Linked DNA regions of Rattus norvegicus. The protein of the gene in region 6 interacts with the protein of the main gene of each other region in a biochemical or structural test. Links are inferred from orthologs where the notes say so. Each region holds a gene or a part of one and is shown on either strand. Other genes may lie near its edges.

Region 1 (4,256 bases), on a different chromosome or scaffold from region 6:
TTATGTGACATGTGAAACACACCACAGGAACGGAAATGCAGAAGGGAAAAGTCAACCCAAAGTCAAATTTTTGGAAATATCAACAAAACTGGTGAAGCAGCCAGAAAGGCAAAAACACAAGACACCAACATCCAAAGAGAAAAGGGACTTCACACAGTCCCTTGCAGACATATAGAACATAGGGGTAAAGCTCAGCTGCAGACAATTTGCTTAACACATGAGTCCCACAACTAGATGACCCATTCCAAGAATAAGTCAGAAACTATCTGAAATGTAACTACAGCCATTACTATGACAGAGGCTGGAAAAGAAAACCTAAGTCCAGCTGGCTGCATTAGAGACGTCTACCTAATATTTAAGGAAGAAGTGGCAGGCACACACCTACACTCCTGCTGGGAAGAAGACTGAAGTCAGAGCATCATGTGTTTAAGGCCAGGTTGGTTACACAGTGAAACTAGGAAAGAGAAAAAGAGCAGCGTGCATTGTTTGTACATAGTCCCTTCCAGAAAGTCAGGGAGCTGGGGAGGGCAGGGGACGTGGCTCACTTGTTTCAGGAGTGCGATACCTCCACATCCAAGGCTGACAGATGTTGGGTTACAGACCAACACCCCATGTAACAGAGATGAAAACCCACCAGCATTTCCGAAGGACAATACCCCAGATGAGCTTACTTCTGGAACCCACAGCAGATTCAAGAACCTGCCACATGGGCTGGGAAGGTGGACGGTCCCCTGGGTTAAATGTTTGCTGTGGAGGCATGACTAAAGTTCAGATTCCCAGAACCCACAGAAAAGCATGTCAGGTGTGTTAGCCACATAACCACAGCAATTGGGAGGCTGAGAGTGGGAATCCCTTGGGCAAACTGGCTAGCTAGAGTGGCCAGGAATCAGGAGCTCCAAGTTCAGCAAGAGACCCTGACTTGGTGAAGTGTAGATTATCGACTACATCAACCCCTGATGCCAACTACTTTGGGTCTCCTTACCCATGTGCCCACACATACATACATGTATGCCTACACACATGTGCATCCATGTACACACACACACACACACACACACACACACACACACACTCAGCCACACAGGGCATGGTGGTGCATGCTTGTAATCCCAGCACTTAGGAGACAGAGGCAGGGGAAACTGCTAAAAGTTCAAGGCCGGCCAGTTTACACAGGGACACCTTATCTCAAAAAAAAAAACAAAAAAAAAACAAAAAAAAACATTGTCTCAAAAGCAAGCAAGCAAGCAAACAAACAAACAAACAAAAGTTGGGTTTGGTAGTACAGGCTCATAATGGAACTACTTAGGAGGCCGAGGCAGAAGGACTTCAAGTTCAATGCTTACCTGGGTTACTAAGTTCAAAGTCAGCCTGGACAACTTGTCAAAAACCCTAACTCAAATTAAAATGTAAAAAGCCAGGCATTTAGCTCACTGGCAGAGAGAGCACTTGCTCAGTGTGAGGAAAACCTGCTCCAGAGCCACACACACAATACAAATATGCAAATGCAGTTACTCTACAACCCAAGGGAAAGAGATTACAGACAATTCTAAAAAGGAAGGCAAAGGCTGGTTGGCTCACAAGTCTCATCTCGAAACATTAAATGTAAACAAAAGGTAAGGATGAATGCAAGACAGAACCAGGGAGCAGACTCGCAAAGGGGGCGGGGCACACAAGGATCTCTGCTGAGGAACAATGGTAACTCCACGCCAAAAAAAAAAAAAAAAAAGAAAGAAAGAAAGAAAAGAAAGAAAAAAGAATCCTTTCAGCAAATTGTGTGGGGAAAATGGTACCTCCACGGGCAAGAAAGGAGCCTAAATCTGCACATCGCACTTCCCACAGGCTTAACTCAAAATACGGAAGGACTAGGCTTCCAACGGCATACGGATTTGGGAACTCTTTAGTGTGCCAGAGTCCCCTGGGTTAGATCTCCATTACTCAGAAAATAAAAACAAAACTACATAAAAGGGTAAACGTTAACTTTTAGAAGACAAATGTGGTAATTCAAACGAAGACATTTTACATTACTGACAAAAGAAACAGGCGCCAAACTGGAGAATGCTTCAAAATGTAAAACCTTCGCTCAAATGAGTAACTTTTGTTTCGTGAATCATATATACAAAGAAAGACTTGGAAGTATAACTCACTAAAGACTCGACACTCAACCGTTAGGAAACAAACCCTTCTTCTAGCCCTTAGGGCAAATGACACCTGTCAGAGTGACCAACCGGATAAACGGAACCTGCATCAGGCGCGAGCTTGAAAGCTGTGCCTGCCAGATTTCAGGCCAGCCGGACGAACCTCCGTTGGACCAGACCGCGACGCTTGGACCCGGCGGATCGCGAAGCTCATGTCAGCGTACAGGACACGGAGGGGACCTGGCTGCAAATTCGCGGCCGGGCCCTGCCTCAGTTTCCCTGTCCGACTACCCACGGTCCGTCGCAGGGCGATCTGCTTCCGTTTCCCCGCTAGCTTCGACTTCCTACCCATCTTGCACACTCAGACCTGCCCGTCCCCCTCCCCCGAGCTGCAGAACACACCGTCCAGCGACACGAACTGGCCGACTGCCGACGAGCCGCCGCCGCTGTTCTCCACGAACTGCACCTCGGACACGATGATGTTGTCCTCGAGCACCGAACCGCAGCCCGTGCACACCGCGTCGCCGCGCGCCGCATCCAACTCGATGTCCGTGCCGCCGCAACCGCGGCAGACGCGGCCCGTCATGTTGGAGCCGCGGGGCCCCACCGGCCCCCTGCCGCTCACCAACCCGCTCTCCGCCCGCGGCCCTCAGCCCGCAAGGCCCGTCGCACCGCCTCCGTCTGTGCCGCACTCTCGCGAGGCCGCCGGCGCCACGCCCGCCGATTCGTAGCGGCAGATTCGCCACGCGCGTGCGGGCCGCGCCGCCTCCAACGGCCGCGCCCGCGGGACCAATAAAGGAACTCCAGAATCACTGGGACGCTGGGACCGAACCGCCGACCTTCCGGGCGGCCGGAAGCGAAGCTCCAAACCAGGAGCCCGTAGGCCTCGCGGGCCACAAGCCAAGGAACGGGGCGGGGCTTGCGGGCGGGCGAGAAGGGCGGGGCGAGGCAAGGAGCGCTGCCCGGGACCGGACCAGAGCCGTGGGAGGAGCCTGGGAAGAGACCGGGGCCGTGGGAGGAGCCTGGGGAGGGGCAGGGCTTGGCCGATGGGCGGAGCCGGGGAAGAGTCCCAAGAGGTATGGGAGGAGCCTGGAGGCGGGGCCGAGGCGGAGAAACAAGCCGTGCGCAGAGCATAAGGAGAGCCGATTGTCTGTGAGAGGAATCTGGAAACAAAAGTAGTGGGATGTGCTTGTGGGCGGTAACTTGAGTGCGACCAAGGCCGGGCCCAGGGTTACCGTGAAGCCTGCATTGATTGGCACAATAGGCTTTGGTAGAGGCCTCGAGGCTGGACGTAGTGGGAGGAACCTGGGGAGAAAGCACGCCTGGGGTAGGATCAAGGACTGCCCGCCTGGCCGAGGTTTGAGAGGGACCTGGGATATTCTTCCAGATTCCGCTGCAGCCCTCCGCGTGCCCTCCGCCCAGGATGAACACTTGGTCCCCCTCAACGCTGGATTCTCAGCAGGACTCCCTATTTCATGGTGGAGAGCTCTGGGTAAAGTGGAGCATACACAGAACCCCCTGCATCTGCAGGCGCGGCTCTCATTCTTAGCCATACCCGTCAGTCCTTGCGAAGTTTAGCAAATCTTGCGTACTACTGCAGGTAAGAAACTCCAAAATTAGACTGCAGGATGCCACAGGAGCTCAAACTGAATTAGAAAGCATCCTTTCTCGAGTAAGAGGAAGCATTGTAAATACGCATAATTCTGATCAGCTTGCAAAACCAGTGTAATTCCAAGTGAAATATCAACATGCTTAAAAAAAAAAACAAAACAAACTTGGAAAAAGCCAATTGTGTTGGTGCACAGCTTTCGTCCCAACGCTCAAGAGGCAGGAGCAGGTGGATCTCTGTGAGTTTGAGGCCAGCCTAACCTACAAAGGGCAGCCAGGGCTCTGTAAACACAGGGATAACCCTATCACAAACAAACAAACACAGAACTTGGAAGAGATCTCCTCAAAACATAGAAAAGGAAGGGTTAGCGAGATTGCTTGGCAAGTAAATGCCCATGCCAGACAAATCTGACTGTCTTGAGCTCGATCCCAAGAACTCAGGCAAAGGTGGACTGAGAGAATTTACTCTCAAATTACAAAGTTATCCTTTACCTTTCAACATCACACACACAA
Region 2 (3,973 bases), on a different chromosome or scaffold from region 6:
AACCCACCCAATAGCACCCTGCTCCACCCACCATGCGGTCCTTTCTATCCTGCCTGCTTGTGCCTCTAGTCACACAACCCTTTCCTCTCCTTCACAGTCATGGTTCTTTGTTCTTTGTCCTTTTTGACTCCCTTTAGTCTTCCTAACCAGCCTTTGTAACTCACGGTGCGCTCCCCGAAAGTGAAGAAATGAATGTCTCCGCTACTAGATACATCAGTGGAGTCAGTTGTTTATGGTTCTGTAAAGACTAACATGGAATCACCATATCTCATCCTTCTCAGGTTCAATGTCTGTACCACCCTTGACCCTCTGAGGGTCCCAACTCCTATGAGTCCCACAGGCTCCCTTTTTCTGATTCCTCCCCCGAGAATTGTACTTTCCATCTCTGACACTGGCTCCTCTACTCAAGTTATATTCCAAAGGCATCAACCAATGGTGGGGTGGGAGCATGTGCAGATGCGTTCCTGTCGTGCAAGGGTTGGTGTGCACAATCAGGTGGTGGGATACCTGCCCACCGCCCCCTTCCGTTGCCTCATGTAGACCAACTACCCCATGTTGTTACCCTTCTCCTGGGGCCGTAAAGCTCTGCCCAGCTGGGGCAGCGTGGACTCGCACAGACCCATCCCGCCCGCAATGCTGGGGTACGCCGGGGCCGGGTCTCTGCCCTGCAACGACTCCTCGGCTCCGCTTTACGTCACAAGGGACTCATTTTGCAAGATCCTCGGGATCCCCTGACTCCAGGACACAAAAGAAAACGGAATCTCAGACCCACCCCAGAAGAGCCCCGGAGGCCATTCCACAGAGCGAGCCTCGGTTGCCATGGCAACGCGGCCTCCGCTCCCGCTTCTTGGACATTTACGCTTGCGCGAGAGTACCGAGGACGCGAACACCAGAAGACTCCATTCCCACCCTACCCAAGATGCTCCACGTTGCCCGCGTCTTGACGTCACGAAGTGACGTATTCTCACGTGATTATAAGTTATCCGTGATGTAAAAGAGAACACTGGGAGAAAGCAGCTTTATTTCGCTCAGAAGCTGGAGAAGACACAGACTAGGTACAGTGGTAGCTCTCGTCTCCGTGTGGCAGTTCTACTTCCGGGTCAGGCTGTGGCGCATGCGCAGCGTTCTAAGTCTCTTTTTTTTCTCGTCTTCCAGCATTCTAGGAGACTTAAGGGTTTGGAAATCCAAAGCACAGGATCACACTAACGTGACAACCAGGAAAGGTGCTTTCCCTGGGTCCGAGGGACACAACCAAGACCATCCAGGTCTGGCCGACCCGGAGCAGCTTGAGCAACGGCCATGGCGGCTCTAGTAAGTATGAATGAGGTGGGGATGGAGGTGTCGCAAAACAGACCCCGCGCCCTCTTCTCGCCTTACAGACTCCTGTTCTTTTGCAGGGCTCCAGCAGCCAGAATGTCACTGAGTACGTCGTCCGAGTCCCCAAGTAAGTCCCCGTCCATCCACACTTTAGAACCTCGGCCCTGTGTTCCCCTGCCACGCTGGCCCTACTGCCGCGTCCAAGACATAGTAATATGTCTTGGTAAATCTTGGTAGTTAATGTTAGGGTCTGTGACTCTGTCCTGTTTCAGACTGGTCAGGCCAGACATGGTGGCTGCCTTTAATCTCAGCACTTGGGAGGCAGAAACAAGAGAATTTCTTTGAGTTCGCGGTCAGCCAGGTCTATAGAGGGAGTTCCAGACCAGCCAGGGCTACATATCGTGAGAGCCTGTCTCAAAATAAAACAAAATTCCAAACTGGTCACAAGTAGTACACATCCTGCTTTCTGTGCCAAGTGCCATGGCCCTCAACTTCTAATTTTATCTTAGGTGGGCCTGTGGTAGGCAAGCACTGTACCACTGATCTACACCTAGTCCCCTTTTATTTTTTTGTTTATTTTGAAGACACAGTTTTACTGTGTAGTCTAGCCGGTTTGACCAGGCTGACTTTGAAACCCACTAAGACCCATTCACCTCCAGCCCTTGCCTGCCTGCCTTCCTCTCTACATAAAGGTTCTCTACACCTTTGGTTCATTTTTTTCTTTTTTCTTTTTTTTTTTTAAAGATTTATTTATTTATTATATATAAGTACACTGTAGCTGTTCAGACACACCAGAAGAGGGCATCAGATCTCATTACAGATGGTTGTGAGCTACCATGTGGTTGCTGGGATTTGAACTCAGGACCTCTGGAAGAGCAGTCAGTGCTCTTAACCACTGAGCCATCTCTCCAGCCCCCGGTTCATTTTTTTCTTAAGGATTTAGTGTTATCTCTGTGTATGCCTGTGTGTATATAGATGTGTGTTGTGAGAGTGCCTGGTGCCTATGGATCTTTATATGGGGTTGGATGAGATGGAGTCTTTAAAAAAAACAAAACAAAAACAAAATTAAAAAATCCCTGAGAAACTGGAGCAGTGGTTTTCAACCTGTGGGTCGCCTAAGTCCATCAGAAAACACAGATATTTACATTATGAATCATGATAGTAGCAAGCTTACAGTTATGAACTAACAAAAATAATTTTATGGTTGGGTCACTACAGCATGAGGGGGTCATAGGGGTATTAGGGGTCATAGCTTTAGGAAGGTTGAGGACCATTGTTCCCGAGTCTTTTTTGAGTTCCCAGAATTACCTACAACCAAGGGTGTAAATCGTAGATTTGTTGAATGGCTAATCGATGGATTGAATAGTTTCTTGCCCATTCCAGGAACACAGCCAAAAGATACAACATAATGGCTTTTAATGCAGCTGATAAAGTCAACTTTGCTACCTGGAACCAGGTAAGTGTATGCCTCTGGGTGTCTGGGGCAGAGACCTAACCCTGGGCTGGTGACTTTACTGAAACAGTAGTGCCCACACCTGTAGCCCCAGCAGACCTGTGATTCCAGCTATTTGGTGGCTGAGGTAGAAAGACTGAGTGTTTTAGACCAGCCTATACTAAATAAATCCTATCTCAAAGAGAAGAAGCTAGCCTGAGGGTACGGTTCAATTGATGGAGCACTCATCTGGCATATAGGAGGCCAGGGGGACCACCAGCGCCATGTATAATGGGCATGTTGGCTGGCACACGCCTGTTATCCAGCATGGGAAAGGGGATAGGATCTCAAATTGAAGACCATCCTTGGCTACATAGTGAGCTTGAGTGAAGCCCCGGATATATATATATATATATAGACCATGTCTATATGTATACTATAAAGTAAAGTAACGGGTAACAAGATGACAAGCAGGCCATGTCATGTACAAAAACAAATGCATTTTATAAGTTTGGAGTGTTTGTTTTTAAGATAAAGCCAGCAGGCCATAGTGACACATACCTTTAATGCCAGTTCTTGGCAGCAGAGTCAGTGGATCTCTGACTTTGAGGCCAGCCTGGTCTGCACAGTGGGCTTCAGAGCAGACTGCCTATACAGTGAGACCCTGTCTCGAAAGGATAAAACCATACCACAAGATGGGTACAGCCAGGGATACTAGCATCCCAGCACCAGGGAGGTGGAAGCAGGAGGATCATAAGTTTGAACAGCCTGAGCTACATAACAGGATTCTCTAGATAATACTAAGAGGAAAAAAGTGTTAAAGGCCAAAGTTTTAAACTACCCAGTATTCTGGGTGTCATGTTAAAATGTTACTATTTCCATATTGTCTGGGTTGCTCCTGAGCCTTCCTCGGGTGGTCTCCGTGATCTCATGGACCAGTCTGTTTTACTGTTGTAAGTCCCACATTCCTCATGACCAGAGTCGTGTGTGTGTGCATATGTGCATGTGGGCATGCTGTGCATGTCAAGGCTAGAGTGGACATCAGCTGTCTTCCATAGTCACTCTACACCTTATTATTAAAATGACATCTGTTGGGCCACAGGTGTGTGAGGGATGCAGAGTTGAGATCAGAGAAGAGTTTGCAGGAGTCGGTTCTCACTTTATGCTGTGTGGGTCCTAGGGCTTGAACTCAAGCCTCAGTCCTTTTGCAGGCTATACTTTATG
Region 3 (3,500 bases), on a different chromosome or scaffold from region 6:
CCCATAATCCCAGGGTGATTAGACCAGATTAATCCATTTCTCATAATCCCATCTGCCGGGAACTAGAGAAGACCAGTGCTGCAGTCTTGAGTGACTTAGAGAAGTTAGGATAGATGACCCTCCCACTTCTGTGTGCTCCTGAACCACACAGGGGAACTGCATTATAGCGATACCTGTAACAAGAACTCTCCTTCTTGCAAGTCCTGCCAGTCTCTGACTTGTGCTCTACACTGGTCCTGGCCTCTACTTCTGTCAGCCGGGGTGGATTTTAATGCAACTACAGGGGGAAAGAAAAAGGAAGAAGTAATTACACAAAGGCACATCTTCAAACAAGCAATATTCAAAGACTACAGTAGAAACCATCAAAGTGGATGATTCGAAACACCATGTGTGCAGCGGGTTCGGCGAGAGGCAACACGACTGGACACAGTGATCATGGCTACCATTTACTTCGGCATTTTAGCCTGCACTAACTAATCTCACTTGCAAATGCATGGCTAACATATCTGACCCGGTTAGATACAAATCTTAGTTCTGCCATTTATTACGCATATCAGCTCCTTGAGCCTGTTTACTAGTAGGTGAAAGGACAACCAAAGCAAACAAACTAAACCAGACTCTCCTATGAAGCTGTTATGAGGGGCAGTGAAAATGTTCATGCCGTTCCTGACACAGCAGACCAGCAGGTCAATAAACAGTTGCTCTAATTAGAGTATTTACGGGAGTGTAAGGATTGCCTTATTAGAAAGAGTAATCTCCTAAGTGCTTCGCATTCTTATCTTCCCTGATCCCTTTCTACCCGGTGATATTTAAAGAGTGAGTCTGCAGTCCTCAAGAAGTATTTTATTAGATTTCTCAGTTCCCCCGGCTCAGGGGAAGCTTTCTTAGCGAGCCAAGGGTCATGTGAGCCATTCTCGTGTTTGCATTTTCCGGTAAATCATCAGTGTATGTGTCACACCGGGACCTTGAGCCAAGCTCTCGCTTACCTTTGCAGAAGCTGAAAGATATCTCTGTGAGAAAAGAGGCCAGAGTTTGGCCTCTGTGCGTAAAGTTTTCAAAAGGCCAGAGAACAGATTTCCTCAGGCCAAAAAATAGTGTGAGGTAAACTGGTCTCCTGCTAATCAAGACTAAAAGGAAATACTTAAATGCTTCTCACTGAAATGCAGAACAGAGAATGGCCCTTTCTTCCTTTCGGTACAGTATTAGCTGTTGCCGCTGCTTATTTTGACTGGGGAACCTTGCTGTAAAGCACTGGCCGCTCATGATGCCAAAGATAAAGACTCTACTCCATGTCACCAAGCAAAGAAGTTGGGAGCTTTACCAAGTCAGACCCACTGCTGAAAAGATGGGATGAAAGCCAAACTCAAACTGGACATTCTTATAAAAGGAGCAGGACCAGTCTCAAACTCCACCAATACAGTGTCCAACAGAAGACCCCGATTATCAACTGAAGTCTCTTCACATTAATTTTTGAGTAACAGATTTCACGTCACTACCAGTAAGAGAAAACAACAGCTCAGCAGCCAGATACATTGTTCACCACCAGACTGTCCTTCATCACCAGACAGGAAATAAGACAACTTGTGTCAAGTTTGCTACTGGGCTTCTGTGAAGATTAGTAACCAATGCAAATTGGATTTAGCCAGTCTTTGAGGATGATTTACAAGCTATAGAAATAAAAAAACTAGAAAAGAATGTCATAAAGGAGTCAAGAATCAGAACAGGTTTACGGAACATTACAGAAAGTGTGGAGATGGTTTATAAAAGCAGGGTCTTCACACGGAATAGCTTTAAATGTCAGAAGCACAATACTTGATATGCACAATAAATGGATTTCTGGAAATGGTCACTGGATGGGTTGTACTCCAAGCAGGCCAGACAATATCTCTGTTGTTTAGTCCATAGGAAAGGACTGAAGTAAATACTGCACAAACATGTGTCCAGAAGTAGCCAGTGCTCTCCCTTCCCAGGGTCTCCCCACAAAACACGTCTGTGCTGTCTTAGAAAGCTTACATTATGACCACACTTTTCAAGCCACACTGGATTATTTTAACCTTTTTGTTTTTCCTTGAAGTTTTAATATCATAACTATTACTTCTTAAATTCCAAGACTCTGGATTAATACTCTTTCTCCTCGAGTGTGCTGCTCAACTTGTTAAGTAACCCATGGAATAAGGCAACTGCTTCCTACCTATAGAATTACTCTATGCACCCGGCAATAATATATTTTCTTGGGGCTACGATCTATGTCCCATTTAATTTCCAAAACTACCTTATGTCACTGGTATTGTTTGTTTGATATAGTATGAAACTAAGACATAGAAGATGAAGAAACTCCCTCGGAGTTGCCAAGCTTTAAGAGGTAAAGCCTGCATGGAAATCCGGGCAGCCTGAGCCTCTTCCCGGTGTGCAGGGATGACCCACCCACCCCACAGTTCTCACACTGAGCTCACTGTTTTCACCTCTAGTTTTCCTGCCTTTACATAAGAGCAATGCTGTCACCTGAGATGAATCCTGGCGAGCATAAAATAACATCCAGCTTACACATGAACAGTAAAGGGCATGCATGATAAACTCTGCCCTGTTACACACCCTGGAAGCACTACAAAAAGACTGCACCGAGTGCTAACCATTTCCTCATCTTTAAATGGAACGCATGGATGGCCATCTGACAGAATTACTGTGATAACCAGATGGTGACTACGATATCTCTACCACTAGGAAGCACTACACACATCATGTATATAATCCAATCTCTATGATACTTGAAACTTAGCAGCCATGGAAGATGTGACAGTCTGTAGAAATGAAATGTAGGATCTGAAAATGTCATTGATTCTGCCACCTGTCAGGCATCTGTTAAATTTTAATAGACATCTGGGCTATATACCCCCTTCTGAAGTAACAGGAATGTTAAAGTAGCCAAAGATGAGGACAGTAAAATGCCATAGTATGAAGGATGACTTCCTCTAGAGCATCTGAAGCAATTCCATAGTAGAGAGAACTGACTGTACTCTGTGTGCAAAGGCATGTTACTATCAAGTAGCCATAACCCAGCACCCACGGCTCCGGTCTGGACTCAACTGACATTTACGGAACCTACATTTTCTAACATGAGACTTCCCTCTCTTGTATATTATTTTGAATTGTTGAAGAAATAAAATTCAAGAGGACAATATACAGGATTCTGCTAAACTATCTGTTCTTCGTTTTTCTAAGTTTACTTTTAAGTTGAAATGTGGCATGGCACAGTTTGAGGGGGAAAACTATTGTTTTACTTATGCTTAATCACTACTATTAATTTAATATATTTTATCTTTTTTATTATTATGACTAGGAAAGTTAAATTCCATTCCAACACTGATGTATGCATAAGAGAAAATGACTGAGATGATTCAACAAAGCACATACACAAACACACATGCATACACACATACACACGCACACACACACCTGCATACACACACATACACACACACATACACACTAAAATGGTTAAG
Region 4 (4,289 bases), about 180 Mb from region 6:
CTTAAAATTTCTTTTTAAAAGCATTTATTTTGGGGGACAGGACATGCCACAGTATATATGTGGAGGTCAGGAGACAATTTGTGGGATACTATTCTTTTCTTTAACTATGTGGCTTCTGGGGATTGAGCTCAAGTTGTTGGGCTTATTGGCAAGCACTTACCTGTTTAAGTAATCCATCCTACTGGTCTCCTAAAATAATTTCCTGAAAAAATTAAAAGGTTTTTTTTTTTTTTTTTGCCATTGAGCTTGAGGTGTTCTGACTAGCAACGTGCAGATGTTTGTTGCTATTTCCAACGTGCAGATGTTTGTTGCCATTTCCAAGGATTGTTTTGAAGACTCACAGCTGATGTTCATGAACTCTTGACATACCAGTCTCAGGAAAATAAGTCAGAAGGGCTCGAACCTGAGAATCACATAAAACGAATGAAGGGAAGCTGTTGATAGTACACAGATGTTAAGTCTGATCTTACCTTAGAGCTTTTAAAGAATATCAGTGGTCATAAACAACTTTCCTTTCTTTTGTTTCGGAAGCCTAATCTTTCTACCAATCCTTTAGCGAAAAACAGAATGAATGGTGTGCTAGTCAGTATTTGTCATTATGCCAGGTATCTATCTGAGAGACAGGAAGAGGAAGCTACTTGAGATTACTGTTTCAGAGGTTACAGTTCACGGTTGTCTGGTTCCATTGTGTGGACCTGTGGGAAGGCAGAATAACTTGAATATAAGGCATGGTAGTGTAGAACTGCTCACCCCAGGCAGAGAAGGGACAGGAGAGAGAGAGCCTTTGAAGACATATTCCAGTGATGTGCTTCCTTCAGCTCGGCCCACCTCTGAGGCTTCTCCTACCATTCCAAATAGCACCATATGCTGGTAGTCCAACACACGAGCCCGTGGAGGATTATTTTATCTTCCACATACAGGTAAAAGCAAGTGTTTAGATAGCTGTGAATGAACAAGGAGAAAACAGTCTACATGCTCAGTATCTGTGTAAGTTAATTTTTCCATTTCCTTTAGAAGCTTACTGTATTGGATTTTTTGAAAATCTTAATTTTGAAAAATTTTGAAAGTCTTTAGCTTTAATTGCCTGAAGGAATTTTCTTGAGTTATATCTTTCTTACCATACCCTTAACTATAAAATGTAAATCATGTGTTGGCATCTTGTTCTGAAACAGTTGAACATTTCAATACCATTAATATGGAGAGAAAAAGATACATTTTAGGGGTTGGGGATTTAGCTCAGCGGTAGAGCGCTTGCCTAGCGAGCGCAAGGCCCTGGGTTCAGTCCCCAGCTCCGGAAAAAAAGAAAAAAGAAAAAAAAAGATACATTTTAGTTATTTTTCTAACCAATTCTAGTGATTTTTGTGCTTAATGTGACTCATTTTTTAAAAAGACCATGTTTGTGCTGCTTGCCTCTGCCTCACTATGTAGCCCAGTAGTTCCTATGGTGGAACTTAGATCCACCAGCCTTGTGAGTGTTGGTATTAAAGGCATGGGCTACCAGGCCTGTCCTGTTTTCCTCTTAATGTGAGAGGCATTCATTTATTTCTTTTGTCCTCTAAAACTTTTTTTTTATTTCTTCTCCCTTTTCTTTTTTTCCTTTCAGAACTTTGTAGCTTTTTAGTTCTTGTTAGATAAAAAAAATCCCAGAAATATTATAAACCTTTTAGTTTATTAATGCTTAAAGCTTATGCCTTACTTTGGGACCTTGTTTGTTCTCTCTTCTCATAGATAAAATGTAAAACTATTCACTAGCTCTCCCCTCATGTTAGATGGGCATTCTTATAACCTTGCTCATCGTTTGCCTCGATTTTGTTTAAAGTGTCCGTATATCCCAAACAAGAAGCCTTCTTCTATAGGCATGGCACTCACGTTACTTCAGTGGGTTAGTGTGGCAAGGCTAGCCCTGTGTGGTGCGTAGATAGGTGGGTGGAGTTGTGACTTTGTCCACCGTCCTTACTCTAAGCATAGTCTGTTGTGATTTTCATTGCATACCTTGCTTAGAAGTAGCAGAGCTAGGGTTTGGATTTGTGTCATTCTCTCATATGTTGCAAGTTCAGGAATATATTAGTAGTCATATTTATCACCTCTGCAGATGACCTTACCTTCCAGCTCTTGTAAACATTAACTCTATTCCAACTATCATTTTGTGCTGTCTTACACTTTCTCTGCCACTGGTGAGCTTGCCATCTTTTCTGTTTTCCTTCAACTACCCCTTTTGATTTCTTTCAATGATTATCTTTTTTCTTTTTAGGAGTGGCATGGGATGGGATGGGAAGTTGTGTCAAAGTCCCAATATGTAGCCCAAGCTGGTCTTGAACTTGGTTGTAGCTCCCAGGTTGGTCGCATTCTCAAATTGATCATCCTGCCCTGTTTTCCAGAGTACTGGGATTATAAGCATGTGCCAAAAAGTAATCCTTGATATTTTCATTTCTGAGATTAGAAATCTTACAGTTCTTTCAATACCCATGATCTTTTGCTTAATTACCACACTGTGCGTGTTTTGTTTAGATGTATGTTTTGCTTCTGACTACTAGCTTCTTTGGGTTTTTGTATGAATTGTGGTCTAATTTTCTACAAGACTTTCCACTACTGCCAGATTAGTCTTCCTAATCCATAACCCCAGTCACACTTGATGCTCTGCTCTATTCTGTTTGCCTTGTCCTTTCTTTTTATGTAACCCAGGCTGGCTTTGAACTCACAGTATCTTCTTTCAGCCCTCTGAGTATTCAAATAATTGTGCACCCCCATGTCTTACTAGTCCCATCATTTTTTTGACCCAAGACTTTTTTGTTGAACTATACAGTCAAGGATTTCACATTATTTTTGTAGTTGTATTTCTTTTCCTCTTCTTTCTTTTGTTAGTTTATTATTTATTTAGTTAAACAAGGTCTTTATATGCTGGCTAGTTGGGAAGGTTTCATGTATATGAAACCTTTCGGTTTTCAGTTCTGCTCTGCACTCACCTTACAGATGAGTATGATGCCTAATAGGTATCCTTTTCCATTCAGAGAATGTGGGACCAAGTCAGTCTCTCCATCATCTCCATCTTGGTTAGAAAGTCCACATAATGTCTAATAGTATTAGCCCTTATGGTACCAATCACACAATGCACATTTCTATGTGTTGAGGATTTATAACTTCCCTCATAGCCTACCTCTGCCTCTTTCCCAAGTGCTGGAGTTGTGCTTGGCCCTCCTACTGTTTTCTGAGTTAACTCTGACTTAAAACCAAGCCATGTTATTCATTTTGCAAGTTACAATTTTTTTGTTATTGCTAGCTCTTTTAAAATTTCACTTATTTATTTATTTATTTATTAAAGATTTTCTTTGGAGTTGGGGATTTAGCTCAGTGGTAGAGCGCTTGTAGCAAGCGTAAAGCCCTGGGTTCGGTCCCCAGCTCTGAAAAAAAAAAAAGATTTTATTTATTTATTGAATATAAGTACACTGTAGCTGTCTTCAGACACACTGGAAGAGGACATCAGATCTCATTACAGATGGTTGTAAGCCACCATGTGGTTGCTGGGAATTGAACTCAGGACCTCTGGAAGAGCAGTCGGTGCTTCTATCCATTGAGTCATCTCTCCAGCACCAAGATAGGCATCTCTTTTTTTCTTTCTTTCTTTCTTTTTTTTTTTTTTTCTTTTTCTTTTTCTTTTTTCTTTTTTTAGGAGCCGGGGAACGAACCCAGGGCCTTGCTCTTGCTAGGCAAGCGCTCTACCACTGAGCTAAATCCCCAACCCCAAGATAGGCATCTCTTATAGACACAGCTTTTACGTTTTTGTTTGTTTGTTTGTTTGTTTTGTTTTTAATCTTTTTGAGGCACAGTTTTACATTGCCCAAGTTGACCTTGATTTGGTTGGTCTTTAACTCTTTTTTTTTTTTTTTTTTTTTTAATTTCTTTTTTTCGGAGCTGGGGACCGAACCCAGGGCCTTGCGCTTCCTAGGCAAGCGCTCTACCACTGAGCCAAATCCCCAACCCTGGTCTTTAACTCTTGATCTTTCTGCTTCTTAGGTGTGGGATAACGGGCACAACATGCTGCTACACCCGGCTCCCAGCATAGAGCTTTGTTTACAGGTTGAATACATTTTCTGCCTCACGCTTATGAGGAAACACATTCAGATTAACTGTTGTATTTTTGCTATTATAGACTCGATCGTCTTTTTATCTTACTGGATACGGGTACTACCCCAGTTACAAGAAAAGCCGCTGCACAGCAACTTGGAGAAGTGGTGAAACTTCATCCTCATGAATTAAATAATTTGTTATCTAAGGTAAGAACTCAGCGTTTT
Region 5 (3,500 bases), about 150 Mb from region 6:
CATCTGTCTTCACACTGGCAGGAGCCTGTTCTATGGGGCCTTCACAGGGGCCTGGGCACCCTTGGGAGCCTGGGCTGGAGCTTTGGCCTCTGCCTTGGTTTGAACCTTGGGCTTTGGTTGGCAGAGCCTACGACCCTTGGCCATGTAGCTTCGTTCGAATCTTCTTCCCAAGCTTGAGGTGAGCGATGAAAGCCAGACGGCTGAGTTTGCGGCTGGAGCCCTTTGGCATCTTGGGCTTGACAGCCTGAGGCTTCACGAGGGCCTTGATGGCCTCTGCTCGTGCACTCACGGCCTTGGCATTGTTGGCCTGCATCTTCTTCAGACCTTTCTTGTTGTGCTTCTTGGCAAAGCGCATGTTCCTCAGAAACTTGGGGTCGACCCCCTTAAGAGATTGGTATCTTTGTGACCGGGGTTTCTTGATGCCATTTCTGTGCCATTTGCAGGACTGGTTGTGTGTGGTGTGGTTCTTGGACTTGGCCATGTCTGCACAGTAAGCCCCGGCTCCCCCTGGTACCTTTTAAGGTCACCTTTTTGATAATTAAATCTCACGTGTGCTTACTCAACCCCACCTCCCTCCAGCGGCCAGGAGGAAAGCCAGCACATAGTAGGTGCTTGGCAAGCTGTGTTGAGTTAGGATTGGAGGATTGAAGGGAAAAAATGATAGCTCCAGTTTCCAGTTTTGGTGCCAGGACAGACGGGGAGACACAGGAAAAAACTAGTAGTTTGGTATGAAGTTCGCTTAGGAGGCATGCAGCTGGGGCGTTCTACATAATTCTGAAGTTTCAAACTAAAAGAAGACGCCATTAACTGCAATGAGTCTGGAGTCTTAGGCTACCCTGTGATGCCCTGCCCACAGTGCTTCCCTCTCTGCCTAGGTAGATACTTAGGTGAGCAGCTCGAATGGCACTCTCAGGCTCTTGTGCCCCAGAGCAGGGCTCCTCTACTCAGCAACCCCAGGAGTCAAGACCAACCAACAAGGCCGGGTGTGGTGGCGCACGCCTTTAGTCACAGCACTTTGGAGGCAAAGGCAGGTGAATCTCAGTGAGTTTGAAGTCAGCCTGGTCTAGTCTCCATAGTTCCAGGACAGCCAGGAGTGAGACTGTCTCAAAAAACAAAGCAGGGAAGAAAATTGAGCCGACAGACCCTTCTCCAAAAGTCACGCATCTTTTTAAGTGGTTGGGAGATGAGGTCTTAGACAAATATGACCCCACTACTCTCCTGAAGAGCCCATGGGAGAACCGCAGCCCAGCTAACAAGAGTAAACCCACCGTCCATATTGCTTTCCCAGACGATCGCCACCGGATTGAAGAAAAACGCAAAAGGACCTACGAGACCTTCAAGAGCATCATGAAGAAGAGTCCTTTCAATGGTGAGATGGGGAGAGCCTGAGGGAGAAAAGTGGGCAGGTGGGCCAAGCTCCAGAATCAGTGAGAGGAGACCTAGGATCTGAAAGCTGACCTAGCTTTTGCCCTGTAGGACCAACTGAACCCCGGCCTCCACCCCGACGTATTGCTGTGCCTTCCCGAGGCCCAACTTCTGTCCCCAAGCCAGGTAAGGAAGTCCTTTTGTCCTTCTAGAATGAGGGTCTCGTTTATTCAGACTGAAGTATCTTCTAGAAGGGAACAGAACAGACACTAGTCTCACCTGCAGAGTTCTGAAACCTGCTCTCTATGGGGCCTGTGCTTCTCGGGGTGAGGCCTGGGTCTCTGCCAGGACCATCCAGGGAGCGGTGCAGATGTGGACTCTTGGGCTCTGTCACAGACTGATAAACTCAAGGCTTTGAAAGTGGGGCACAAGAACTAGCCATTTCCTGAGGGTGCTATTGGCTCCAGTTAAACCCTGAGCCCTTTATTCCCTGCTACTCAGGAGAGTGTGGCAAGAGGGTCACGGGTTCAAGGCCATCCTGGACTACAAGGTTATTAAATTTAAGGTCAGTCTGAAGAACCCTGTCTCAAGTTTAAAAGTAAAAGCAGGATAAGAACAGCTCAGAGGTAGAGGCCTTGCCTGGCACAGAGGCCCCAGATTCAATACTTGGTACCAAGGGATTAAATAATCCCTGCAGATACAGACATCGGAAATGTCTCTGCCCTCAGCTCTCTATTGAATTTAGAAAGAAGAAATCACCTCTAAAGTAATAAGTTGTGGGGCTGGAGAGATGGCTCAATTAAGGGCGCTTGGTTTCTGTTCTCAGCACCTGCTTGCCGGCCCCAGCTGCAGCGCTAGGGGAGCCAGTGCCTCCTTTGGTCTCTGAGGGCACTGCATGCAGTGCATACAGAAAAGCAGGAAGGCACACACAGACAAAGACTTTTTAACAAGTCATGGGCTGTGAGTGCTGGCAAGTGGCTCAGAAAAGTAGCACATGCCCATCACCAAGCCCACGTTCCATGCTTTACCCTCAGCTGGCCTTGCCGCTGTAATACGAGAACATTAAAAGGTCAGGAGTGAGAGCTTTAGACCGCTGGTAGTTAGGGAACACCTCAGTGTGTCCCCTACAGGCCTGGTCAGTTTGGTTCCCTAGAGAGGGAGGGATTGTAAGCACCAGAGAGCCGGGCTAGGTGGAGGCAGAGGGGCTGTGCAAGTCTCTCTCTCTCCCTCGCTGTTTCTGATCCTTGTTCCTTGCTTTTTCTCCAGCACCCCAGCCCTATGCCTTTTCAACATCCCTCAGCACCATCAACTTTGATGAGTTTTCCCCCATGGTGTTACCACCTGGGCAGATCTCAAACCAGGCCTTGGCCCTGGCACCATCCTCTGCCCCAGTCCTGGCCCAGACCATGGTCCCCTCCTCAGCCATGGTACCAAGTCTGGCTCAGCCCCCAGCTCCTGTCCCAGTTCTAGCCCCAGGTCCTCCCCAATCCCTGTCTGCACCTGTTCCAAAGAGCACCCAGGCAGGGGAAGGCACCCTGTCTGAAGCCCTGCTACACCTGCAGTTCGATGCTGATGAAGACTTGGGGGCCTTGCTTGGCAACAACACAGACCCAGGAGTGTTCACAGACCTGGCATCTGTCGACAACTCAGAGTTTCAGCAGCTTCTGAACCAGGGTGTGGCCATGTCCCACTCCACAGCTGAGCCCATGCTGATGGAGTACCCTGAAGCTATAACTCGCCTGGTGACAGGATCCCAGAGGCCCCCTGATCCAGCTCCTGCAACCCTGGGGACCTCAGGGCTTCCCAATGGCCTCTCAGGGGATGAAGACTTCTCCTCCATTGCGGACATGGACTTCTCAGCTCTTCTGAGTCAGATCAGCTCCTAAGGCACTGATGGTGACCCTGCTCAGAGTGGGGCACTGAAGCCTTCCTGAAGCATGTACAGATTCTGGGGAGTGTGCACCAACTGCCCCCAACTTCTTTGGGTGATATCTCCTGGGGGTGGCACATTTTATTCTTTTATCAGCAATATCTCACTCTCTTTTTGGAGGTGCTTAAGCAGAAGCATTAACTTCCCTGAAGTGGAGCTAGGAGGACTCGGGCTCTTCCCCTGTACGATAGTCGGCTCTTCTTTT
Region 6 (3,500 bases):
CTAGGAAATACTTTTCTTTTCATCTTGAGACCCGTTTCTCGGTGTAGCCCTGGCTATCCTGGAGCTTGCTCTGTAGACTAGGTTGTCTTGGAAAACACAAAGGTCTGCCTACCCCTGCTTCCTCAGTGCTGGGACTAAAGGTGTGGGCTTCCACCACCTGGCCTAGAACTTTTAATAAAAACTTATTAGTGCAAATCTGCAACCCAGCATGTGGGAGGCTTAGGTAGGAGAATTATCAAGAATTCAAAAAATTAAGAATTGTATTGTATAAACAGCACCATGCTAGCCAGGTTTGTCAAATCAGATAGTCTCAAAAATAGCCCCCAAAATTGAATTTAAAAATTAAATTTTATTAGACTAGTTTTCTCTAAACATAATCATAAAGCCAGGTAGCCAGTTTTTGCTTTTCTAATATCTATTTCCCCCTAACCAAGGTAACACTAAGAAAAAAATTCTTGTTTTACTTAAAAACGAGTTTGACTCAGCATGCCCATACCTGAACTGAATTTTCAGGTTCACTTTGGTGTACCTGTCACAAATTTAGTCAGTCAAATGATAAATGTATTCCTATTTTAGAAAGTTAAATATTGTGAGGGGGCAACATTTGGAATGTAGGTAATAAAATAATAAATTTAAAAAAGAAAGTTAAATATTTACCTGAATTCTTTATAAGTCTACTGAACTGACACCTAATAAGAAATACTATTAGATAATGGAAACAGTAATGTGGGTAAATTGCGTGCTCTGTGGATATTGAAACAAGTTATGTCCTAAGCTCATAAGTGATTTGATTGATTGATTGATTGATTTTCCGGAGCTGGGGACTGAACCCAGGGCCTTGCACTTGCTAGGCAAGTGCTCTACCACTGAGCTAAATCCCCAACCCCTCATAAGTGATTTTAATCAGAAGTATAAACCTGGATGCCTGTGGACGTCAAGCAGGCACGGAGAAATAGTTTAGAGCAGTTCAGACAAAAGGAGTGCTTACAGAACTTATCCCTTTAAACTCAAAAGTAATTTAAAATTGTACACAGGCAAGGTATAGTCAGGTTATGCCACTTAGTTTAAAAAAGGGATTGGGGCTGGGGATTTAGCTCAGTGGTAGAGCGCTTACCTAGGAAGCGCAAGGCCCTGGGTTCGGTCCCCAGCTCCGAAAAAAAAAAAAAAAAAAAAAAAAGAACCAAAAAAAAAAAAAAGAAAAAAAAAAAGGAGCTGGCATGGCTTACAAATGACACTATCTATGCAGAAAACTAAGTGGAAATGGGAAACAGAGTTGAAAGTAGGAAGGAAGAGTTATTAAACACAAAAACCGATAGTGTTGTCTGTGAAGAACCGTTTAATCAGCCACTAAGCTGTCTTAAAATAAAGCTATATATATATATTCTTGTTACTAAGTGGTGTTTGGAAAGTCTGGGCTGTTTCAGAAAGAAAAAAGCCCGAACCTTCCACCTTTTTTACATGTGAGAAATACTTCTCTGAGGCAAAAAATTCCTCAAGACAACTGCTATCCTCACTCTAAGAGTGACTAAGATCTCCAAAGATATAAATACAGCCCTCACAGCCAAAACTGAAGAAAAACCTGGACCCCTAAGACCTGTGCTGACACTATGGCAGAGGCTGTGATACAACTGGCCTGTGACTCTGCCACTTAGCTATAAAGAATTGTCCACAGCATCAGTGAAGGTCAGTTTGCATTCCAGTGGCCAAAATACATAAACACAAGCAACTCCATTTCTAAGGGAAAGTCTCTGCTGAGAGCACTGACCCACTATGTAGCTTTAATTCCTTGTCAAGAACAAATGAAGTCACAGTATAACCGAATTACCACTGGGTCACTTCCTTAAGTAAATCCACTGTCAGAAAGCAAATAGTGTAATAGCACCGAGTACCTCTTCTGGTGCAGAGACATAGGGCAGGGGACACAGGACAGGAAACACAAACAGAAAAACCTCGCTCACTCACTCACTCACTCACTCACTCACTCACTCACTCACTCACTGTTACACACAGGGGGTTGGGGGCGGTGTGTACACAAGTGAGAGGTACTCACTGGAGCTGTGGTACAATCCCAGAGCTCTCAGAGGCTGGTGTGGCAGGAGTGATAGGGGTCATAGGAGTCATTGGTGAAGGATACAAGGGGGTGGTGCCTGGCAATGGTGCTGTGGTTAGAGTTTGAGAATGGAAGAGTTGTGGGGTCTGGCCTGAGGCACCCTGTGTGGGCTGCTGAGATGTTGATTGCTGTACTGAGGCTGCTGCAGTTGCTACTGCCTGCTGTTGCTGCTGCTGTTGCTGCTGCTGCTGCTGCTGCTGCTGTCTTTGTTGCTCTTCCAAAATAGATAAACTATTGGTGTTCTGAACAGGCTGTGGAGTAAGCCCTGTGCCGTAAGGCATCATTGGACTGAAGATGGGAATTCCAGGAGTCATGGCACCCTGTAGAAAGCAAAGAGAGCAATGACTAAGAGACTGATGGTGGCTCATTTAGCTTTTCCTTAGTAGATAAGTATTTCAGTATATGTCATTCAGTAGTAGAGAAGAATCTGTGTCCTGAGATGCACCACTATCTTCTGTAGTACTGAACACAGTAGACGAGCACTTGGGATTTGAAATCTGGCTGTTACTTATGATATGATATAAGAAAGATGCTTAGCCTCTCAAGCATATCTAGACCATAAAGAAAAAGCATATGTCCCTATTTAAAGTACCACTCAGTATCCAGGCATCTTAGCTCTGGAGGCAGAGGCAGGTGGATCTCTGTGAGTTCGAAGCTAACCTGGTTTATAACACAAGTTTCAGAGCTGCTATGACACAGAGAAACCCTGTCTCAAAACACCAACACCTCCCCTCCAAAGTACTATTCAGTATATGCAGATTATCCACTAACAAAGACTGTGTCAATTCTGGATGATGGATCACATGGTCACCTAGAGGTTCGAGATGACAGGCTCATGGACGCCTCTATCATACTACTCTAAAAAGCAATTTACTCTACTAAAAACAAAAGTCAACAAAGTCTGTAATATACTGTCAACTGCCTTTTCTATAATGCTTCTATGTTTTACAAATATAGATTTAATTCTAATTGAAAATTTTATTTATAAAAATAAGGTAGATTTAATTAATTATGTGGAGGTAGAAGAACAACAGAGATGGTAAAGTTTATACTGAATTGGTAATAATCTAGGTGTAATTCTATTGCAAACACACACACATGCACACGTTTAACATCAAAACTAATGTTTAATTCAAAGCAGATTTGGTAGTAATCTTGTAATAGGAACGTGACTGCAATAGGAGCAAGAAGGAACCTTCTGGAGTAAATAAAAGTTTTACAGCTCATATAGTTGGAACAGTCTTCTAAATAAATTAGGTTCCAAATAAATTTCCCAAACAAAAGAGCATCATATCTACCTAAATCAGAAATTTTCACAAAGTAAAACAAGACTTACAAACCCATGTTCAATACTGCATGGTTACATGTCACTTTCTCTTGCTTTCTCTTA
Region 7 (3,944 bases), about 150 Mb from region 6:
TTGGCACACAGGTTGCCCAGGCTGTTCAGATACAGTTGGCAGACTGCTTGGCTCCAAAGATGCTTCGCAGACCCTCTGCTATCTCAGGTACCCGTCTCTTCACTGTGCCGAGCCCGTCACTGCACTGGCTGCAGAACACTATACTTTTCTTTTTTTTTTTTTAAAAAGATTTATTCATGTATTATATATAAGTACACTGTAGCTGTCTTCAGACACACCAGAAGAGGGCATCGGATCCCATTACAGATGGCTGCGAGCCACCATGTGGTTGCTGGGATTTGAACTCAGGACCTCTGGAAGAGCAGTCAGTGCTCTTAACCGCTGAGCCATCTCTCCAGCCCAACACTATACTTTTCAAGGCCCCGTCTCAGTACTGATTCCATCTGTCCCTTCTCAGCAGTCCAGAGAGGGGAAGAAGGTGCCCAAGGTCCCACACAATGAGAGGTCACCCCTTAGCATGTGGCAACTCAGTCCCTAGACCACATTCCTTTCTTCAGTGCCCCAGACTCCTGTCAGACTCCCTGTTTTAACTCAATCACTGGCTGCCCCAACAATGTTCCTTCCTGCTGCCCCCATGTGGGGAGGTGGGGGGATGGGCAATACAGCCACGAAGCCCTGGACACAGGATGAAAAGAAACCAAAATCCTTTTTTTTTTTTAATAAATTTAAGAACAGTTCCATCTTTCTCTTCTCCCCAAAGCAACTAATACTAACTAAAAGAGCATATGGCCAGGGTTAAAGGGCGCTAGGAGTCATAATCCTCTTCGTCCTCTGCCTCAGGTGCTGAGGGGCCGGGAGGTGCTGGGGGTAAAGGCAGAGGAGAGGTGAAGGGCATGAAGGGAGTTGGAGGGCTGCAGGACAGAAAATGGAGAAAATCAGAGCTTGGAACTGTGCTGTGCCCAACCCACAGGCCCACCCCCATTCTCCAGAGACAGAAGCAGGTGTAGTCAAAGCCACCCATTACATCATGGAGACAACCCCCCTAGGAGGGAAGGTCCCAGCAAAGACCATTCTCCAGACTCTCTCCCCGACCCACTACCATGGAGGCAAGGCCTTCTCAGAACAATCTCTTGTGTTTAATAGTGTTCTCTCCCCTCCATTCCCTAAAGTCAGCCGCCGCCACCGCCGCCACCACCACCACCACCACCACCACCAATGGCTAGGGAAGTAAAACTAACTGGCTCTGGGGAGTTTGTTGTGCCTCTTTCTGGTATCCCTGGGGTGCTCACCTCTGAAAGTGGGCAGGGGGGTGACTGGCTTGGGGTGGGGCCTGTGGTGTCTCTTCTTCCCCATCTGTATCTGTGTCCTCAGACTCATCCTGTGAGCACAGCAAGGGTCAGGTTAATGAGAAGGTCTGGGCCCTTCTCTGGGGAGCCCAGAACCCTGGTAAGGCAATGGAGTTAGATACAAAGGCTGTAACAAGGATGAGACCAGGCCTTCCCCACCGGCCTCACTCACCTCCTGTTCTGAGTCTGTCCCGGACAGCTTTTTGTCTTTGCTTTTGCTTCCTGTGCCTCCATTCTTCCTGCCACTGCTGCCTGGTTTCCGGCCCCTTCGGGAAGGTACAGGCCATCTGCACAGAGGACTCTCTCCCCTTCTTCACCCCCCAGCCACCCCCAACCCTTGTGGCCTTGGCCTTTCCCACTTATATACCTGGTTTTGGTTACCCACCTTCGAGGACCCTTGTCCCCATCCGTGTGGTTGTCTTCCCCATCACCCTGCATGTCAGGCACAGATGCCACCAAGTCTTTCAAGAAGTCAAATTGCTGTTCAAGCTCAATGCACTGCTTCCTGTAGAAGTGGGAGAGGAAGGTGTTCAAAAAGGGCCCCCAAAACACTGATGTTCCGGAATCATAGAAACAACCTTTTCGTGTCAGTACAGTGGAACACCCCTCCCCACTTCCACCAGGCCTCCCGGGCGGGCGGCTTGGCTCTGGTTGTTCCCTCCACCTGAAACACCTTATCTCTCCTACATCAGTCCAAACCCACAAAGCTGGCCTCCCTCAGCAGCGCACCACTCCCCCTGTCAGAACACTGCCTCCTCAAAAGCCCAGCTTAGCGGCCACTCACAGGTGGGACGTGGTCATGGTTTTGGCATTTCGAGACTGGGTCACCTGGCAAGCCTTCTTCAACAGAGACTCCAGGAAGAGCTCAAGTGCCCGGGCTGAGGACGTCAAGGAGAATCCAAAAAGGGGAGTGCCGCAGTCCCGCCCCACGCCCCTCAGCCCAGCCAGCCCCTAGTAGGATACAGATGATGACAGGCACAGCTGCCGCCACCTTCCCAATCTCTTCGTCTGTCTGCATGATCTTCTTGATCCGCGCCTGCCGAGGGGAAGGGGACAGAGCTCGTCTCCTGCGTCTCTACAGGGGAGCTGAGTGAACCGGGGGGTATCCCAGGAGAAGAGGGCGGGGGGCACTAAGCCAGGAGGGCATGGAAGGGGCGGGGCGTCAGGCCATGAACACCTAAAAGCACCCGTCCCCCCACCAGCAGGACCTGGGCCCAAGCCTCCCAGGAACCTAGCCTGCAGAGGCCCATCCCGGCCACGTGCTCACCGGCGGAAACCGCGCGTTATACTTCTTCTTCTTGCTTGGCATCTCGGGGCCTCTCACGCTGCGCCGGGCCCAGCGCCGCCGCCCGCAGCCTCCAGGCCCCGGGCCTGTTCGCCGCCAGCCGGCCGCGGTTCCCCCCGGTCCTGGTGCCGCCTACTCCGCCCACACCACTTCTCGCAGGGTCCTAGTGCCGTTCGTAGAAAAGCAGCTCCCAAAACCCAAGCGCTGGGCTTTGGATCCTCTAGGGCGGTGCGCGTCCTTCTCAGGGATCGCCCGCCACGCCCACCCGCCCTCCAAGCTAAAGTACGAACGTTAGCTCCGCCTCCTGAAGACCTGCACCTCCCGGGATTCTCGCGCTGGCTCCGCCCCTGAACTCAGCCCGCCCCTTCCCCTGGAGCCCCCGCCCCTAGCCTTCTGGTTCCGCCTCTGGCCCCGCCCCGTGACTGTGTTTGTCTATAAAGTTGTTGTTGAGGTGGCGGGACCCTAAGATGGCGGCGGCGGCGGCGGCCGTGGCAGGGGCGGGGCGCGGCGGGGGTGGCGGCGCAGACCCCGGGCAGGAACGGAGCCGGGCCCGAAGTTGGGTTGGCGCGGAGCGGAGTGAAGGCCGGAGGTGACTGTGGGGCGACGAGAGGGCAGCCCGGGGGTGGAGGCAACCCTTACCTGTGAACACTAATGGCGGCGGGTGTGGTAAGGCTGGAGCCTGGTCCTCGCGCAGACTCTGTCCTATCAGGTTCGAGTCCGGATGTTGCCCATTGACCCCCAGATGGGCCGCTGTCCTCTCTGGGTCTCAGAGTCTTGGTGTTGATAAGTGTGCCCCAAATAGTTCACCATGGGAGGCCTGGCCCCTCTCCAGCCAGCCTCTGAGATTGGCGAACCTGCGTTTTGCCTACGTCCATTAAATTGCAGCGCCGCGCTACCTGCGAGACTCTAGTCCTGTGGTGTAGCAGAGTCCTGTGCCAGTTAACACTTAAGCTTTAACGGTCTTTACAGACATGACCTTGGGCAAGCCCCTTTTCTCAGAGTTTCAATTTCCTTGTTTTTAAGCAGTGAAAGTAGTACTGACAATAGCGACTCCACCTCAGGCATTTTATTCTAGAGACAAATCTAGACAGGATCAGTTGTTATCCCATTGTGAAGATGAAGCAACTGAGGCACAGACATTAAGACTTGCCCAAGGCCACAGTTAAAAGCAGTGCCTGGCACCCTCTAGGACCCAGTACTTTTTATTTACTGTCTCAAACTTCTGACTCAGTTCCCTCACAACAGGATGGAACCAAATGAAGAGCTGGAAGAGGAGGACTCTCCAGGTGGTCGTGAGGATGGCTTCACTGCTGAGCACCTGGCTGCAGAGGCCATGGCAGCTGACATGGACCCCTGGCTGGTATTTGATGCCC

What was found.
Region 1: the proteins of Tbp (region 6) and Brf1 form a complex in vitro, tested with the Homo sapiens proteins (2 studies listed by BioGRID). The link is inferred for Rattus norvegicus from reciprocal best matches to the Homo sapiens genes TBP and BRF1.
Region 2: the proteins of Tbp (region 6) and Gtf2f1 form a complex in vitro, tested with the Homo sapiens proteins (3 studies listed by BioGRID, with this or other methods). The link is inferred for Rattus norvegicus from reciprocal best matches to the Homo sapiens genes TBP and GTF2F1.
Region 3: the proteins of Tbp (region 6) and Ahr form a complex in vitro, tested with the Homo sapiens proteins (2 studies listed by BioGRID). The link is inferred for Rattus norvegicus from reciprocal best matches to the Homo sapiens genes TBP and AHR.
Region 4: the proteins of Tbp (region 6) and Btaf1 form a complex in vitro, tested with the Homo sapiens proteins (2 studies listed by BioGRID). The link is inferred for Rattus norvegicus from reciprocal best matches to the Homo sapiens genes TBP and BTAF1.
Region 5: the proteins of Tbp (region 6) and Rela form a complex in vitro, tested with the Homo sapiens proteins (2 studies listed by BioGRID). The link is inferred for Rattus norvegicus from reciprocal best matches to the Homo sapiens genes TBP and RELA.
Region 7: the proteins of Tbp (region 6) and Drap1 are reported together in a solved structure, tested with the Homo sapiens proteins (2 studies listed by BioGRID, with this or other methods). The link is inferred for Rattus norvegicus from reciprocal best matches to the Homo sapiens genes TBP and DRAP1.

What each region holds. Positions count from the first base shown.
Region 1 is NC_086024.1:137,899,587-137,903,842, forward strand, and holds the start of Brf1 (transcription factor IIIB 90 kDa subunit), read right to left. Parts: upstream 2,801-4,256; 5' UTR 2,722-2,800; coding exon 2,538-2,721; intron 1-2,537.
Region 2 is NC_086027.1:1,937,398-1,941,370, reverse strand, and holds the start of Gtf2f1 (general transcription factor IIF subunit 1), read left to right. Parts: upstream 1-1,173; 5' UTR 1,174-1,299; coding exon 1,300-1,311; intron 1,312-1,397; coding exon 1,398-1,444; intron 1,445-2,700; coding exon 2,701-2,773; intron 2,774-3,973. UniProt on the Homo sapiens protein: TFIIF is a general transcription initiation factor that binds to RNA polymerase II and helps to recruit it to the initiation complex in collaboration with TFIIB. It promotes transcription elongation.
Region 3 is NC_086024.1:57,978,402-57,981,901, forward strand, and holds part of Ahr (aryl hydrocarbon receptor), read right to left. Parts: intron 278-3,500; coding exon 174-277; intron 1-173. UniProt on the Homo sapiens protein: Ligand-activated transcription factor that enables cells to adapt to changing conditions by sensing compounds from the environment, diet, microbiome and cellular metabolism, and which plays important roles in development, immunity and cancer.
Region 4 is NC_086019.1:244,079,504-244,083,792, forward strand, and holds the start of Btaf1 (TATA-binding protein-associated factor 172 precursor), read left to right. Parts: upstream 1-1,489; coding exon 1,490-1,524; intron 1,525-4,147; coding exon 4,148-4,271; intron 4,272-4,289. UniProt on the Homo sapiens protein: Regulates transcription in association with TATA binding protein (TBP). Removes TBP from the TATA box in an ATP-dependent manner.
Region 5 is NC_086019.1:212,360,836-212,364,335, forward strand, and holds part of Rela (transcription factor p65), read left to right. Parts: intron 1-1,288; coding exon 1,289-1,369; intron 1,370-1,476; coding exon 1,477-1,551; intron 1,552-2,631; coding exon 2,632-3,251; 3' UTR 3,252-3,500. UniProt on the Homo sapiens protein: NF-kappa-B is a pleiotropic transcription factor present in almost all cell types and is the endpoint of a series of signal transduction events that are initiated by a vast array of stimuli related to many biological processes such as inflammation, immunity, differentiation, cell growth, tumorigenesis and apoptosis.
Region 6 is NC_086019.1:65,139,708-65,143,207, reverse strand, and holds part of Tbp (TATA-box-binding protein), read right to left. Parts: intron 2,431-3,500; coding exon 2,051-2,430; intron 1-2,050. UniProt on the Homo sapiens protein: The TFIID basal transcription factor complex plays a major role in the initiation of RNA polymerase II (Pol II)-dependent transcription.
Region 7 is NC_086019.1:212,160,963-212,164,906, forward strand, and holds Drap1 (dr1-associated corepressor), read right to left. Parts: upstream 2,801-3,944; 5' UTR 2,596-2,800; coding exon 2,554-2,595; intron 2,323-2,553; coding exon 2,250-2,322; intron 2,165-2,249; coding exon 2,071-2,164; intron 1,792-2,070; coding exon 1,672-1,791; intron 1,574-1,671; coding exon of another isoform or gene 1,553-1,573; coding exon 1,459-1,552; intron 1,319-1,458; coding exon 1,230-1,318; intron 852-1,229; coding exon 746-851; 3' UTR 150-745; downstream 1-149. Other genes in the region: Bles03 (UPF0696 protein C11orf68 homolog), read left to right, coding at 3,039-3,160, 3,817-3,944. UniProt on the Homo sapiens protein: The association of the DR1/DRAP1 heterodimer with TBP results in a functional repression of both activated and basal transcription of class II genes.